Tamandua tetradactyla: one gene and its partner. The protein of the gene in region 1 purifies or fractionates together with the protein of each later gene. This does not show direct contact. Links are inferred from orthologs where the notes say so. Each region holds a gene or a part of one and is shown on either strand. Other genes may lie near its edges. The genes, in order: GNAI3 and RIC8A.

Region 1 (9,270 bases):
TCTAGGACCCTTTACAATAGACCCCAACCTAATAACCCATGCTCTCAATTTCAATTCTCTGAGCTTGTATATTCTAGTTAGTCCATGTGAGTGAAGCATGATATTTGTTTTTGCTTCTCCCATTTCATTCAGCATACTGTCCTTAAGGTTCATTCACCTAGCTGCATGCCTCACAACTTCATTCCTTCTTGCAGCTGCTGTGTAGTTCACTGTACATAAACACTACAGTTCCCCTTTCATTTCTCAGTCACTGTACCCCTTAGGTCATCTCTATTCATTGCAAATCACAAACACTGCTGCCATAAACATAAGTATGCAAATGTCCATTCAAGTCCCCATTCTCAGTTCCTCCAGGTATACATCTAGCAACAAGGTTGCAAGATAATACGGCAACCCCACCCATAGCCTCCTGTGGAACCATCACGGTGTACTTCTGAGGGGCTACCGTGCGGTTAAATTCTTTGCTCTGGGCCTCGCAGGTGGGGACTGTGCTCTTATCCATCATACTAGTGCTTCCTAACTTTTGTCCTATCATGGCACACATCGAAAATTATAGTATTGGTAAGACCAGGGTAAAATGGAGGGACTTGGTGAAAAACAAATATTTACTTTATACTATGAACTTCTGACACGAAAAATAAAATGCAAAATATTACAGATGATATTGAATACTGATTTGGCACAAACTTTCTAAATAAAATATTTTCAAATGATCAAATTCAGGAAGTTTACAGAGGGAATTAAACGAAAAATGATCAAATATCATTTTAACTGTTGTACAATTATGAAAAATTACAAAAATAATTTGAAATTTCAACACTATAAAAAATGTGCAAGTAGTGCATCTGTAAGGCATCATATGCTCTAAGCACACTGACTGGGAAACTGCATAATGTAATTTTGCTTTTCAAGAGAACACTGACTGAACACTAATTTGACATATCAAGAGCTTCCCAAAAACATCTAAAGACATCAAAGATATATAACAAAGGAAAAATTGCCAATACTGAAGTCTTCCTTAACTAATTCTGTCCACAGTGGTTTCTTTATTTGAATTTCTCTAATATCTAGAATCTCTAACATTCATTTTGGCTTAATACTAACAAACAATACTAATAAATACTAATAAATAATTGTCATTGAGCTAGTACTATTTGACAAGCTGTATTCTACTTTACATTCTTATAATTAATCCTTATAGCAAATCTAAGAACCTTGATTTTCTCTGTTTTAACCATGAGGAAACTGAGAGAAAAAAACTGAATAAATCACTTTCCCAAGGTTAAAACTGGTAAATGGGAATTAAGACTTGAAGTAGTCTGACTTCAGAACCCACGTTATTAAGCACTATGCTAAGCTACATCTATGTAAAGAAGAAAATAAATTAATATTTACTAAATACCTATTATGGGCCAGGAGAGACAAGGGTAATGTAGACAGATCTCAAATTAACTAAGTTCTATAGTTTCACAGTGATGAAGTAAAAATGACTTGCACGCACATCAAAGGAGGTATTCTACGACAAAGAATTATTTGTGTACCATGACGGGTACCTTCTACTTACAGAAATAGCAAGGAAGATCATTTTAATTTCATATGTTTCTTATGATACAGTTGAAGCAAGAGCATTCGTCTCTCTGCAAGCTATCTGAACTTGCTCAAGAATACAAAAACACTTAAAAAATAATAAATCTGATAAAAATTCAAAACAAATGTTTTAGTAGTTTGATTTTTATTCACTGCTCTACAAGTTCCCTAAGTCATCATGTGTTTGATTTTGTTTTTAATTAGATACACTATTTATAAAGTCCTGAATAAAGATTTTTCTAGACATTTGAACAAGTTCTGCACGCCCAAGTTCTGCCTGCCAATTCCTGCCATCTGGAAGAATGCCTCACAGTTTATAACTACATTACAATAGGCCAATATCCTGCGAGGATTTCTGAAGATCAATGTAAATTAAAACACTCACAGAAGATAAGAATACACCTTTAATTTCATAACCAACTGATCAATAGAGAAAATGCCAATGCCTTGAGTGTTGTGGTTTATATTAAATATTTAAAAGGCCTCCAGGATCAATATCAACATTAACTGGCTCTTGCTGGTTAACAGCAAATATTTAAAAAACATCAACTACGTGCCAGGGATTGTGCTCATCCACAAATGATATCTATTATATAGTGGCAGTCTAGAACAATTAGAATTTATGCTTTCTGAAAGTTTGGGTATTCAAACTGGACGCTCAAGCTCCAGTGCCTAACTTTCCCCCTATGTCCAAATAAGTTGTTAACACAGCCTGTTCAACCTACAAACAACCAAATACGTTAACAAGAAGAGACAAGCAGGAATACCAGGCACATCCTGGAATACAAAAAAAGACAAGAGCTATGGTGGAGCATTCCCTCCTCCAGGGCAGAAAATTTGGCATTTTCCCTAAAGCAACTATTTTTGCTCCAAAGTCAAATGTTTTAAAAAGTAAAGTTGTTCTACTGCTTACAGAAATCATTACTCCTAATTATTCTTCTTTAACGGATCCCTAGAAAATACTAATAGTGAAGAAATGTGGCTTGATTTCTTGGGAAGCTAACGTCAAGGTACCTTATATGATTTATTGAGCCTCTAGAAGCCAGTTTCTCAAAAATTTTTAGACTAAGTCATGCTGAGTAAAGTGCATACAACTGTACATAAAAACCACTTAAAACCAATGCCCGGTAACATAAACAGTAAAAGCCAATATTTTGGTTTGAAGAGACCAGAAAAGATAAAAATAGTTCACAGAGCTCTGTCACAACCTTTACAGAAAACGTACAATTCCATATTTTATACTAAAATAGCTCCTTCATTCCCAGCGCACTATTCCGAGCAACTATTCGGCAACTCTCAACGTGTAATCTTTTACCCTCTACCTCTTTTGTCAAAACACAAGCATTCTTTAAATTCTTCAGCTGGTACCAACATCCACCCTTCTTTATAAAAAAAGGGGGGGTATGAAACCTTAAAAGAATACAAATGATAGAAAAAAGGGGTAAAGTATAAAGATAGCGTCAACACCCAAGGTCTTTTTCTTTAAACTAGAAAACTTGTCATTTCAACCACCTACCTTCATGTTCCTGGATAACTGAAGGCTCCTCCACCTTACAAATAGTTCAGAATGTTCCCTCTCTAACACGATAGGATCCCTGTGTGACCACCGTGTCCCAGCCTCTCTATTTATAATAATCATTCAAGTCTCCCAGCTTTATCCTGTCATTAAAACTCACAAGCCATTAAACAAGCCCAACACATCATACTCTACCGCGTCCTCACTCAATACACCAACCCCATACAAAACCTTCCCTAATATCAGCTCTTCCTTTAGGCATGTCCCATGTTTCTATCAAAGTCCAAATATCCTATCGCCCCACGCTCCCAAATTCTCTTTGCTAAACGCAATTCCAGCAAGGAGTCACACCCTCTACAGCCTAATTCCTACAACCCCAAAGCCCCACCCCTTCATCACGCCCTCCCGGCCTCAGCCACCAACCCCAACACCCCGCCCCAAGTCCGTCGCGCTCTCTAGATCCCATCGGGGTACTTTCCGCTGACCTGACGTGAGCCCCCGCCTCAGGCCTCCCCAAATGTCTAGGCCCTCCCGACCACCTCACCGGCCCCGCCCTGGGACCCTCACCAAGTAGCAGCAGCTTCACTTCTTTGGCTGCTTTTTCCCCGTCCTCTCGCAAGTTGCGGTCGATCATCTTGCTCCGCTCCACCGCCGCCTTGTCTTCGGCGCTCAACGTGCAGCCCATGGCGGCGGCGGGAGAGGGGACAGGGCCCGGACACACTCACACACCGCGGGAACTGCGGTTCGAGCGACAGAGACAGCGTCTGCTGCTGGGCGGCGGCCCTCTCTGTAGGCTCCCGGAGAGCCCGGAGAAAACGGATATCCGGTGTTTGCGACACTTCCGGAGACGCCCCGCGGCCGTCCCCTTTCAAATCTCTAGCTTGGGAACAGAAGAGGTGAACGAAAACGGAAGTGCTGGGAATAGAGGCGACGCGGGGCGGTGGTTCGTGAAGCTGCGAGGTCCTGTGGAGCCAATTGTACGCCACCCGAGCTTAGTCCCTTTTTCCCTTTTCGGCTGCTTGTTTTCCATAACTATAGACAAACCCGGGCTTGGCTTCTCCAGCTCTTAGAGGCCTCCCGACGTCACACAGCAGAGTTTGGACCTGGGTGGGTGTGGCGATTGGGGTGTAATTCCCAGGTTAAGAACGACTAGCCCTCACCCAGAGCTTTGCTGGTGCAATCTATCGATCCTGACCGGAAGGCTTCTTTGCTCTCTGGCGGTAGAGATCTGGGCCTGCCCAAGTTTAGATCCTATCCTCCTCCAGGGTCGTTTCAGCCAGGTTCTATAGGATGGGAACAAACTGCCTAGCTTGGGCCCCGGCCACGCCTCACATCTGATATCAGTAACACCAATCGTGCGGGGGGGTTAGCGATCCCTTTCTGCCCTCTGCTCGACTCACTGCCTCCTCCTTTCAAAGTGTATCGTGGTCCTTGTGCCATTACTTACACTGTGGGCTTGGGAATTACCCAGCTCTTATGTTGACTGAGGGCCATTTGCAATCACCAACTGATACCCTGTAACCTGAAAATTAAGCGTGTAGTTCCTGCTTAAAATTTGCTTGCTGCCCTTCTTCCCAATATAAGCCAATTATAGCGTTTACAGATGTCTTGGGTTAGGGGCTTAGGACTTGTGCCAAAATTAGTCACCCTCAGCCCCTCCTCCAAAACCACCCATTGCGGCCTGTAAAACTCCTAAAATTTCCTGTTGTACCACACAAAAAGGGAAGTTTTAGTAAAGCTTGACTTTCAGCTCAAGTGTCACCTGAAGATAAGTAAATCCCTGTGAAAGCCCAGACTGATACCCTTTCACAGGTAACCCTGAGTACTAGTGTGAAAATGCCCTAAATTTCTTTCACTGACAAATACCCCCCTCAGTGTCTTCACCATAATTTCTCAGGAGGAAGACTCTTTTGTAGATCCCAAAATCTTTGCCTGTGATTAAAAATTATTTCATTACCCTAATAGAATTTAAACCTTAGGATCTAAGGTTCCCAGCAGAAACGTTTATATGGTGATTGATTAATTAGAGTGATTCCTTGAGAGCCACCTTAGACTGCATCACCCACCATAACTCTTATCAATGCCAATTCTTCAAAGTTTGAAAAGTCTCCCATTCATTCCAGACTGACTCTTAGGATGAAAGGGACAGTTTTTTCATAATCAATATTTCTGGGGAAAAAGGGCAAGAGGAAAGGGAAGAAAAACCAATATTTATTGAGTGCCTATATGCCAGGTAAGGCTAGTGCTTCCATGTTTCATCTCTTAATCCTCACAACAACCCTGTGAGGTAGGTAATATTATCCCCATTTTTACAGATGAGGAAATAGGCTCAGAGAAAATTAAGCAGCTTTCCCATGTTCACACAGTGAGTACTAGATCTGACTCCAAATTTGCCCCTTTTCTACCATGCCCCTATATGACGTTAATTGAGAAGATCTGACAAGAGAGGATCTATAATTTTCACGTAAGACTGGGAGTCACCCTGACACTACCAGGAAGCCAAAAAGAATTGACAAGATAGGTTCCCCAATCTGTTGATTCTTCAATGATTGGAAAGTTCAAGTTTTGTCCAGGAATAGCTTCCGAGCTAAGGATTACATATTAAATTTTTATCGGGTTATTCTGGTGACTAGAAAACTGGGAAGTGACCATGTTTGAAATTGTTGGGCAGGTTCTCAGCATAACAGAAGAGTCTCTTTCATTATGCCCTTGGACAGAGAAGAATAAATGGCAAGTGAACCCATATATGTCAAACTATAATAAACGCTAGTGAGATCACAGTGTCAGGAAATTTCAGTCTGAACTAGAGAAATCCTTGCAATTAAAACTTTCTTCTTTGATGTATGTGAAGGAAAGGTTAGAGGGCAAAACCAAAAGAAAAGGCAAAATAAATTAATAAAATGGCTGCCAGACGTTTAATGGTTTAATGCCAACACCACCCACCACCACCCCTAGGATACGCCCCTTTCCTATTTCCACTGGACTCATACTGCCACCTGCTGGCAATACTTAGGGTCTACTAGCTGATCAGGGGTTTTAGGAAGAATAGTTTCCCCCCACCATCTAGGAATGAAATTCCTCAGTGTGAATTTACCTCAAAATGGAGGAGAGAGGGGAGTAAAGTACATGTTTTTAATCACAAAGGACTCCCCTCCCTGGATATACTATCTTTCTAAGGGATTTCCTCAATATAGTAGGCACTAAACTGGAGGAGTAAATGGTAGGAAGACAGAAACCTGGAAATTTTCCTAGGTGAAGAGGGGAAAAGGAAGGTTTGCTCAGTTTCCTTTCTTTACTTTCTTCACTAGAGAATTTTCATTTACAACCCCCATCCTTTCCACAATCTGCAGTAAGCCTCAGTGTAGATATTTTGCTGCAATGGACTCAACTCTGAAAAGTTAGAACCCTGGATATATTCTCCACTCTATTTCTTGAATATTTTCTACAGTGCTTTACCAGCTGTAAATCCCTGTAAAGTACAATATATCTGATCAAATTAGACTATGAACTCCTTGAAGGCAGTGACCACACATCCTCTCTGTAAGTCCCAGGGGATATGGGTATCCAAATATTATGCACTGAGTGGAACTGATAGAGTCAATGTTGATATCAGTATAGTCTTTTATAATAAAAATTATTTATTGGCTATTCAAAGGGGAAACTATCCCACTCCCACCATCCCATTTTCCCCATTAACATTGAGTCAGGCGTTATTCAAATGCAGACACACCACCATGCTGTCCGTGACTCTTTAGTGTCACCTGACTGTATTGACGGAAATGGGGTAGACAGGTAGTCCCACATCCTGTCCAGTTTGCAGTTATTCCCCTTCACTTGAAAATTTGGTTGATCCATGCGTTGGCCACCACTACCAACCAACACAGTTCCTACTGAATCAAACCGTGGAAAGCTGAGCCCAACTCCTGTGCCCTGTCTCCAACCCAGAGCTGCATACTGGAGAGAGATTTAAGTTTTTGTTATGAAGCTAATTTTGAGCACGATGAATGAAAGGGAGAAATTTAATGGACCATGGAAACCCCACCTTTCCCATGCCCAACCTTAGTCTCTTGTACCCTATTGTCCAGAGGGCTGGAGGTGGAGTCACTGCCATGAGGAGAAAGATCAGGGAGGTCATTCCTGGAAGGAAAAGGTGATCAGTATTATTGATCAAGGTGATTATCTGGTCCCTTTGTACCCAGTCACCTTAGCAATTCAAATGTTAGTCCCCCTACCCCCAGCTTTCTGACTCTGAAATGAGGGGGGAAAAAGCCATCCCTGTCTTATTTTTGCCTTTGCTGAGATTAAGCCTCAATCTTGGTCTCCAGGCATGGAAGAGAAACAGGGAAATAGAGCAAAAGGACTGTTCTTGAAGAGCGGAAGAGAGAAGCTGCAGTCAGCTTTCCTGTTTCCTACTCCATATACCCTGATTGCTACCTTCTCCTTACTTCTGGTAAAACTCAGAAAACTGGTAGAGAGAAATATATCCAACTGGTTCTCTCACTTTAAAGAAATATCAGGTATAAAACTAGAAAATCATCTATTAACTCAAATGGAAACACTTGGCTGTAATTTAATACTTGTTAAGCCTACCAAGGAGATGAGAAGACAGATCATTTTCTTACTTTGCTTGGGTGCAGTTACTGCCCTGGATAATTACACTGAAAAATAAAATATTCTGAATGGCCCCAGAATAAGGCCAAACCTGGCCTATATCCTTCAAATCCTACCCTTACAGAGCTTCCCTGCTGCCTGAGGCATGGAAAGTTCCCCAGTTGAGAGGCTTCACCTCACCTTTGTGACCTTTTCTCTCATCAGTGTCTCACCACTCCCGGGTTCCCTCCCCCAGTCATCAAGGCTCTCAGCCAAGTCCAAGGACTTTTGTCATATGTCCAACCTGTTGACTCTGTTCTTGACCCAGGAAATTCTCATCAAAAGATGGGTTCAGAGACCCTGTCCCGGCCCCTCCCAGCTGGGAAAAGGTGATCCCACAAGGTGGTCCTCGCAATCATAACCAACCCCCAACCCCATCTCCCTCCAAACATCCAGTAACCCATCATGATTCCTGCCGGGGTGAGGGGGCAGGATGGAGGTAGCTGTCCGACATGATGATGTCGCTAGTGAGTTGCTGTTCCAGGAACTCAGAGGTCTCCTCAGCTATCTGGCCTGGAATTCGAAAGTCGACAGCAGGTGGCTCCTGCTTGGGGCTAGGGAGTGGTCGTGGAACCCAGGACTCCGTGGGACAGCCAGTCCCCTGAAGGAACTGCAGGAAGTTCTCCTCAATCGAGCCTTCCCGGCTAGGCAGTCTCAGTTCCTCCTCTGGAGCTGGCTTGAAGAAGCAGACAAACTGCTTGCTGAGCTCCCCGCGGATCTGCCGGTTGAGACATCCATAGAAGAAAGGGTTGGAAGTGAAGCAGAAGTAGCCAATCCAGGTCACTATACTCTCTACCTGCCCAGCTGAAGTGGGCTGAGCACTCAGGGCGACATAGAGGTGGAAAGAGAAATAGGGCAACCAGCAGAGCAGGAACTGTCCCCCCACGGCTAGGAGGACCACTGCTGCCTTCCCGCCCCCAAACGTCCGGTGTGGGGTGGTCTGGGGGGCCCCAGAACTGGTGACCATGGTGGAGCGGCTGCTGAGCGATTCCGAGCGTTGCCGGGGCGTCTCCATCCACGTGGGCAGGGGCCCATGCTGCATGGCAGCCACGCGAGCCACCCGGAACATGCTGCAGTAGACCACAAGCATGAGGAGCAGGGGCAGCAAGAAGTAAAGGACAGCGAAGACCACCACGAAAAGCTGGCAGTAGGCACTGTGGCTCCATTGGAGCGAGCAGCCTGGGGGGTCGCCGGGAGCTCCTTCCTCTCGGGAGACCCTTCCCAACACAGGCACGGACGCCATGGCTAAGGCCTTCACCCACACACCCACCAGCACGGAGGCCACCAGCCCCAGCGTCATGCGCACCTCGTAGCGCATGGGGTGGACCACGTAATAGTAGCGCTCCACGTTGATGGCCGACACAGAGAGGATGGCCAGGCTGACAAAGCACACGCTCAGGAACAGGTAGAGGCGGCAGGTGACCTCCCCGAAGAGGGCGTGGTCAAAGAGGGTGGAGCTGGAGAGCATGGCCAGGGGCATGAGTGTCAGGGCGGCCAGCAGGTCCACCAGGCAGAGG
Region 2 (8,302 bases), on another chromosome or scaffold:
GAGGCGGACAAGCTTGTTCCGTAGCAGCTCACCCACCTCGGGCCGGGCCCTCACGTCCCGCAGTGGGGGCAGCACCTGGTAGGCAGCCACCCCTCAGTTCCTGGGGTCCTCAGTCCCCATTCCACGTCCCCCGGAAGGCTGGCCTTAACCCGCCCTGTACCTGGGCTTTCAGGAACTTCCTGACGGGGCGGTGCATGCGGGCACACTCCGTCAACACGCTCAGCACGGGCGCCACGCCCTCCTTCAGCCTCTGTGTCTGCAGAGGAATCACCATCACCTGGCAGCCGCCCAGCCCTGCCCCTCCCAGCACGCAGCTGCCGTTAGTGAGATGAGGGGCCGAGAGCAGGTGGCTGTGATCCCCAGGGACACGCGGATGCACCTCTCGGCCAGACACTAACTACTCTGCTGCCCAAAGGATCTGCATTGCCCTTCATGTGGATTTTTAATCTTTTATGAAAACATCTATGTTCCTGATTTTTCTCATTTTTTTAAAGTAATGTCTTAGTTGATTTCAAACAGTCATTTAAATGCTTTATTTATAAATAGAAAACAGGAAGAAGGCAGTTCCTGAGATGTTTCAGACCGAGGAAGAGCTTTTCCACTCGCCCCTTGGCCAGGGGTGCCTCAGAGCTATGGGCTTTGTTGACAGACAGCAAAACTCCCTTTCCTCCCAGTACCTCCAGTCACTTCTCTGGCCACAAACCAGCAGCCGTAGCAGCAAGGACAAAGGGCACCTGTTCCAGTGCCATGTGCCATGCAGGGGGTGGGATGAGGATGTGCCCATCCTCATCTGCAGCAGGGACTCGACCTGTCAGGCCTGCCCAGAGATTCCTGTGGTTCCAGGGATACTGGGGAGAGGTGGGAGACGGCAGCCAAGGACACTGATGTTTGTAAGTAGGAGCCATGGATGGGTTAGCTGCCTGTACACAGCGAATCTACAAGTCTGAGGAACTCAAGCAGGGACTGGGGCCTTCCCAGGAGCTCCCAAGGTATCGCCCCAAAGGTCTAAAGCACAAGTACGAGTACTCGTGAGACTCTGAAAACAGGCTGTTTTGCCATCTGCATCCTTGCAGTCATCAGAACAGAAGGCTTCAAGAGGAAGGGTGTGCAAGCTTTGCGGGGAGGACCACGACGGAGCCGCGGCACAGAAAGGCCAGGGTCCCGCGGTCGCCTACCCACCTGGTCCAGGCGCTTCTCCAGGAAGCCCAGGAGCACACGAACCACATCCATGTTCACTCCCATGAACTCGAGGGAGCCCTCGTGCAGCCCCGGGGGGAGCAGGACGTCCAGACACTTGAGAGGCAGATTCCCCAGGAGATTGACTGTGTGGCTGCAGACCGGGGTGCAGGTGAGGGTGGGCAGGTGCCTGCCCTGCTGGGCCACATGCGATGTGAGCCAGTGTCAGGGGGCCAGAGGGCAGCACCAGCCAGGTCCCCTGTTCCTGCTAAGCAGGAGAAGCCCTGCCTGTCCCACCCCTCTGTCTGGGCTGGCTGCCTCACGCCATGGACATTCTCTGGGAAGTAGGTCATGGAGAATGGCGGCAAGTGACAATCTTGATCTGCTGACACCAAGGTCCAGGCTGGCATGCCCTTCTGCCAGACTGACAGCTTTTGGTCTTGGGTGTTATGAATAACTTTGCTAGTCCCATCAGAGGAGCGAACTCAGACTCCAAGAAGGGAAATGGGGCTCCCAGGTGGTTCTTATTTATACCCAAGACTGAGAAGCACCCCAATCCCACAACAGGCCCCCTCCCAGCCAGACATGGCCAAGTACAGAGCTCCCCCCACCCCACACACAGCTCCCAGCCCAGAGCCTTGCCCTCACCCCTGGAACTCCTCAGTCCGGTCTCCAGCAGCAGCCACCATCACACAGCGCCGCAGAAGGGTGCCCAGGTGTCGGTAAAGGGCAGTGTCCTGACCAGAGAGAAGAGCAGATCCCTGAAGGCGGCTGCTGCCAGCTGAAGGCATGCTCTACCACCCTGCCCCTCCTCCAACACAAGGCTGCAGGTCCAGAGAACCAGTGGCTCTGACTGCCACACAGCTGCCTTTGTACTCTCCTAAACGACCCTGCTGGGTGGTGAGGCTGACCGACCAGTGCCATTTTCCTGAAGACTCTGTGGCTGCAGATGTCCACACCCACGGTTCTGCAGTGGCTGTTTCCTTCAGCCTGCCATCACACCACACACCCTGTGGCACCTGGACCTCCAGACCCAGGAACAGCTATCTCCCTCAGATGCCTCTCTCCTGGGAGGGAGCCCCTCCTTGGCCTCCCCTAACCTCTCTATGCCTGACGCCAGATCCGTTTAGGTTCCTGGCATGTCGCGGGGCCTAGGATTCGGGCCTCACCTGGTCTGCCTCCCTCTTGGTGGTGTCAAAGGTGATGTTGAAAAGCACCTTGAGGACCTCCATGGCCCGCTCAGTCTCCTGGTGCGGGAGGCACTCAGGGGCGCAGTCTTCGGGGTCTGCCCCGAGGGTCAGCTCCAGCGTGTCAGTCAGCAGGCGCACCCCCTGTAGCTCCTCAAACAGCTGCTGGCGCACGTCGGTGCGCAGAGCCGTGAGCAGGAAGAGGAGCCGCAGGTCAAAGAACTGGACATCATGTGGGACGCTCCTCTCCCGGGAGAGCCGCACGCGCTCGGCGAGCCTCACCACCACGCCGGCCTCGGCTGCCAGCTGCTGCGCCAAGGGGCTGCTGAGCACAAGGTTGCACAGGCACTTGAGGGACTCCAGCACGACGTCCATATCCGCACCCGGGGCCTTGAGGGCGGAGCCCTCGGGGGCTGAGATGCCGGCATGGCGGGCCAGGGCCTGCAGGCTCTGGCGGCTGGTGAACCGGTCCAGGCAGCTGCGGTCCCGGGACAAGATGCGGACACTCTGCAGCCAGGTGACGCGGTGGGAGGGCGGCAAGCCCTGCTCCAGGGCCGAGACGAGCAGCTCCGCCAGTTTCTGTGAGCAGATGAAAGGGCGGCTGCCCGGAGCCCCAACACCCTCCCCACGGCGCCTCCTAGGACCCCCGGCCCCTGCCCTTTACCGCTGCCACCCACCTTCCTGTCGTCCAGCTGAGCCTCGTCGAACGTGAAGCTCTGGGAGTTCTGCAAAGACACCGGGAGGGTTCTCGGAGCGCAGACCCCGGACAGGGCGGGGCCGCGCACTGGGGGGGCTGCCTGACCCAGGCGGGGCCTGCACGCGCCCCGCCGCGCACCTGTCCCCGCCGCGTGCACCCCGGGCACCGTCCCGCGCCCCTCGCCGCCCCATGCACGTCCCACGTCCGCCGCCTGCGCTCACCTCCCGGTTGTAGGTCCGCAGAGCCTGCACGATCACGTCCTCCTCCCCCGTCTCCACGGCGTCGGCAACCGCCCGGGGCTCCATGGCGCCCCCAGGACGCCCGAAGGCTCCGGCCGCGAGCCAGGGGGGACGTCGCGCCGCGGCGGGGCCCAAGTCCAGCCCGAGTCCAGCCCGCGCGCGGCCCCGCCCTGCCTCGGGCAGCCCGCGTCCGGCGCGCGGGGGAGGCCGGGACGGGGCGGGGCGGGGCCGGCACGCGCGGGGGGCGGGGCGAGGCCGCGCGCCGCTTAAGGTGCGCGGTTTAAGGTGGACCCGGAACGGCGCTGGCGTTGAAGCCCCGACTCCGGGACCCGCCGGCTTGGGGCCCAAGTCACCCCTTGGCCAAACCGTGACCCCTCCCTCGTGCGCTTCTTGGGCCGGAATTTCAAAAGGAGAACTCTCCCGATCCCCCCATCTTTATCCACAGAATGAGTGGGATGGAGGAGGAAAGCGCCAGCGGAGAGGGCTTTGCGGTCTCAGAGCCTTTGGTTTACTAAACCGGCGTCGTGGAGCGCCTGCTGCAGGCGAGGCGCTGGGGACGCGGGTCAGGAAGACCCTGCCGTCCTGGAGCTGGTTCCAGAGGGGAAGACGGACAAGGAAAGACAGACAAGACGACTCTGCGTGGTCCTAAGCGTTGTGGTTTTAAAAACAACAGGCTGCTGTTGTCCCCAATTGCGGGGGGTCGGCAGAAGGCTCTAGGGAAGTGCTACTTCTGATGAGACCTGATGCTCACGATAGGGGACCGTGAAAAGACTTGGGGGAGGCCACTCCAGGCAGAAGGAACGGCTCGGTTGGCAGAGGTCGGGGGTGAACGCAGGGCCGGAGTAAGTGCAGCGACTTCCGAGCTGTGAAACCCTGAAACGCGCTCTAGCTCAGAGTTCGTGTCCTCTTCTGTAAAGCAGAGGGGAAAGTGTCCACTTCAAGGGGTTGCACTGAGGATTACAGGCACTCGTAACTGACACACAGAAGATACCTCGTAGCGGTGAGTAATTCATAAATACAAACTACTCACCCACCTCTCTGTTCTTTTATCACACATCTGTCATGCCAGGCCCTTGGTACCAGGATTCAAAAGCAGGAAACACTGGTTCCTACTGTCTCCGCTGCCCCTTCCCCAAACCCTTTTCCTTGGTTCACTGTTACTTATCTGCATTTTATTTTTAAAGCACTTATTCAGGTTTACTTGTTCCAGGCAATGGTCTAAGTTCAAACGAGGAAACCGCCTTACAGACTCGGGAACTAAAATGCACGAAGGTTAAATTCCCCAGGTCACTCGAGGCCGAGTGGGGCGGCGAACTCGTGCGCCAACACCGCGCCCCGGCAAAGGCGCTGGCGCTCCTCCCACTTCTTAGGACCTAACCTCGCCTGAATAACCGAGAGAAAAGACATTTCGACGTTAAAGCGAATGGCGCAAGGGCTCCCAAGTGCGGGGTCCAGGTCGTCCCGGGTCCACTGACAATGAAACAAACGTCGGACTCCTCAGTCCCTCCGCGCCCGCGGCGGCAGAAGGGGCGGGGCCGGAAGTCCCTCCCCGTGACCCTGCGACGCCGTGACCCCGCGACCCCGCGCCACGTCCTCGGCGGCGCTGGACGCGATGGCGGACTGGGCTCGGGGTGAGCGCGGGGTGGGCCGGGGGTCCGGGGGACGGGACGGGCCGGGGTTGGATCCGACCCCGGGCGCCCGTCGGCGGGAGGGGACAGCCCCCAGTCAGCGCCCCGCCGAGGATACGTGGCTGCGTCCCCCCTCGCCGCCGGAGGCCTGGGAGGGTCCGGCCGGGTGCCGCTCCCGCTCTCCTGGGCTGTCGTGACGACTGAAGGAGGGAACGGACGCGAAGGCGTTGGCGGGGTGCGTGGCACAATGCCTGGCACAACGGGGCGCCTTTCCGCAGCCGCCCCTTCCTTCCGGGTCTGTACGAGTCAGAGATTCCTAAGGCCTCGGACTCTCAGGGTATCGGCCCCGTGGAGGGCGAGTCTCACCCACCGAATGTGATACATTCACGCCACTGGTCCAGTTCGGGTGTGCAGCGGGGAATGGGGTTGGCCGGAGTTACCGGGCGGGTCTCGCACCGTGCCCTCGTTGTTCTGGGAGGTGCTGTGGGGACATAGGTGAGCAAACCTAGGCCCTGCCCTCGGGGCTGGACCCTGCCCACATTTTGGTTAGGGAACTTTGCTCGCTTCCTTTTCTCCGTATAGAAGGGCCTCCCCGATGTCCTGCCCTTGGTTATCGGTTACTTTTTCAGGACCAGGTCACAGGTTACGCCCACACAGCCCTCGCGGCTGTCCTCCTTGAGCTAGTGCTCTTCCCTGGGCCCTCCCCAGGACAGGCGGGAGGTACATGCATGGTAACCTTGCTGCAGGCAGGTACTGCGTCTCACTGCCTCCCTGGGATTAGTCCTGTCTGGCTTGGCGTGCCGGATGGGCTGAACCTGTTGGGGTACACCCCAGAGGGCAAGCCACACATCCTGCATGTGTACAGGGGACATGCTCCCACGTGGTTGTTTACTGTTGCACAAACACAAGGGCCACAAACCTGTCCCTGCCCAGCGGGTTACAGGTGGAGACCCAGCCCCCACCCCTGCCCAGACTTCAGACTGAGGCAGATGGGGTTGAGGCCACAAAGGGCCAACTTTCTGTGGTCTGAGGGTCAGGGATTGTGCTCATGGGTGGATGCACAACTTCAGCCTGTCTCTACAGCTCAGAGCCCCGGTGTCGTGGAGGAGATTCTGGACCGGGACAACAAGCGGATGGCCGACAACCTGGCCTCCAAGGTCACCAGGCTCAAATCGGTCTGTGGCGGTCTCCTTTCTCTTGGGAGCAGGACCCCCAGGAGGGTGCAGCTTGGGGGGCTCCAGGCTGCTTTCCATTCTCCTTGCTGGCTACTTGAGGCCTGGGGGGCATTTTCTGACCTTCGTGTTTGGTGAGGGTGGCGTTTGTTCTGGCTGGTCCTGGGGGAGGAAGGGTGCTGCCCCATGTCTGGCCTGGCCTGAACCTGCCCTCTCTGTGCCCTGGCCAGCTTGCCCTGGACATTGATAGGGATGCAGAAGACCAGAACCGGTACCTGGATGGCATGGTAAGAGCCTTTGAAGCTCTAGGGTGCCCTGCTGAGCTTGGGCCCACACCATCTGGGGTCGGGCACTGTTCTTGGGCACCAGCAGAGGTGGGTGTGGAGGTGCCAGCGCGTGTAACAGTACTGGGATTCCTCCCTCAGGACTCAGATTTCATGAGCATGACGGGTCTGCTCACTGGGAGTGTGAAGCGCTTCTCCACAATGGCACGGTCTGGGCGAGACAACCGGAAGCTTCTGTGCAGTGTGGCTGTGGCCCTGATTGTGGCCTTCTTCATCCTCTCCTACCTGTTGTCCAGGGCGCGGACGTGAGCGAGCGGGGGTGGGCGAGCTGCCACTGCGGGTGCTGGGGCCAGCCAGGGCCACCCTGTGCCCCACCTGGGCTCCTGGGCTCCGGAGCACTTCCCTACAACATTCCTTTGAATTTACGATTGTGGGTCAGAGGTCTTCTTCCTGTTCTGGACATGAGCATCTGTTGGCTGGTCCCATCCACGGAAGGGACACTTTCCCTGGGGAAAGGAGGCCCAGCGTCCTCCAGTCCCTGGTTGGAGCCTGAAGACACATAGCACTGTGCTGGCAGCCCCTCTCCCAGCCCTCAGGCGTCTCAAGGTTCCTCTACCGTTTCCTCTGAGCAAGGCCATGTGTGTGATTTGTGCAGCATGAGGCTGGCATGAAAAGTGACTCTACCTTCAAACCTGAAACAGCGCTATCTCTTTGGCCCACCCTCTCCAACAGCAGCTGCTCTTGGCCAAGGCTGCCTGGGCAAGGTCACACCAATGCAGGCCAGCTCCTCCCCCAGTACCCTCTGTGCTCACGCTCATTTCCCTCCTTGGGGTAGACAGAGGGCAGCTGGAGCCAAACCCTGGGGCCTGTGGATACAGAGGCTCTGAGCCCTAAGCGCTTCTGGGCTTGTTCAGAGCAGGAATTCACACTCAGGGTGTGCATTTACCCAGCCTTGCAGATGGGTTCCACGAGACCAGACCTCCAGGAGTGGCTGAGTATGGGTGAGGCCTTCCACCTGCTTTTCACAGGACACTGCTGCCTCTGTCACCTGTAGGGGTTGCCAGCCATGTGTGGTTAACTTATTCTTCCACCAAACCCTGCCCTTCCTCCCACTGTGAGGGACCCTTCCTCCTGAGTGCATGTATCTCTGAGCCACCGCCCTCCCTGGGCCCTCATTTCCCACTGCGTACTCTCTCCACCATCACACCAACCCTGGACAGGTCAGACCCAATGCCTTTAAGACCAAGCCATTGAGCTTGGGACCCTCCCCTGTCCTATCTGATTCATCTTCTGCCTTCCTGGCCACTCTGTGAGGCCCTGACTCACAGTTCACCCACTTGCAAGGCCTCTTTCTGAGTTTGTCCAGCTTAGAAGGCTTTGTCTCTGAAACCTAAACCGGCTGTCTGCCATAGCCTGCTGCAGTCAGCTCCCACAGCCTCGATGCAGCCTTCAGCCCTGCGAACTCACTTCCCAGGCCCCATCCTTCTAATAATCTTCACCCCTTTCTCTCCTTCCTCTCCCTCCCCCCCTTCCTCTCCCTTCCCTCCTGCCTCTTTCCCCTTGCCCCCCCTTTCCTCTGTTCAAGCACTCACCTAACGCTGTCTCTCATCTTTCCTTTCCTTCAGGGTTAGGACTTTGAGTGTCCTGGAGAGGCGTCATTCCACCTTTTTACTTCTGAGCACTCTGTTCTGACTCTGCCTCACCTAGTGAGTCCTCATGTGTGGACTAATCTCCGTATCTCAGGCTTTCCCAAATTGTGTGCTGTGGTATGTGTCACTCCCAGCTCCCCTCCCTCCTCCACAGGCTCTGCAGATGCTTTTTCTTGTTTCCAAGTGTCCTTGTGTGTTGGGGCTTTGGCCTCTCTGCTTGCACCACAGGGAACCTGTCCACTGCCACCTAGATGGCACAGGCACTGGGGA

What was found.
Region 2: the proteins of GNAI3 (region 1) and RIC8A purify together in Homo sapiens (affinity purification with mass spectrometry; 3 studies listed by BioGRID and IntAct, counting the BioPlex papers as one, with this or other methods). This does not show direct contact. The link is inferred for Tamandua tetradactyla from reciprocal best matches to the Homo sapiens genes GNAI3 and RIC8A.

Annotation. Positions count from the first base shown.
Region 1 is NC_135337.1:13,326,931-13,336,200, forward strand, and holds the start of GNAI3 (guanine nucleotide-binding protein G(i) subunit alpha-3), read right to left. Parts: upstream 3,937-9,270; 5' UTR 3,789-3,936; coding exon 3,671-3,788; intron 1-3,670. Other genes in the region: GPR61 (G-protein coupled receptor 61), read right to left, coding at 8,157-9,270. UniProt on the Homo sapiens protein: Heterotrimeric guanine nucleotide-binding proteins (G proteins) function as transducers downstream of G protein-coupled receptors (GPCRs) in numerous signaling cascades.
Region 2 is NC_135335.1:32,996-41,297, reverse strand, and holds the start of RIC8A (chaperone Ric-8A), read right to left. Parts: upstream 3,465-8,302; 5' UTR 3,366-3,464; coding exon 3,282-3,365; intron 3,089-3,281; coding exon 3,041-3,088; intron 2,943-3,040; coding exon 2,346-2,942; intron 1,914-2,345; coding exon 1,825-1,913; intron 1,331-1,824; coding exon 1,180-1,330; intron 257-1,179; coding exon 161-256; intron 76-160; coding exon 1-75. Other genes in the region: BET1L (BET1-like protein), read left to right, coding at 4,912-4,930, 6,011-6,102, 6,330-6,386, 6,525-6,692.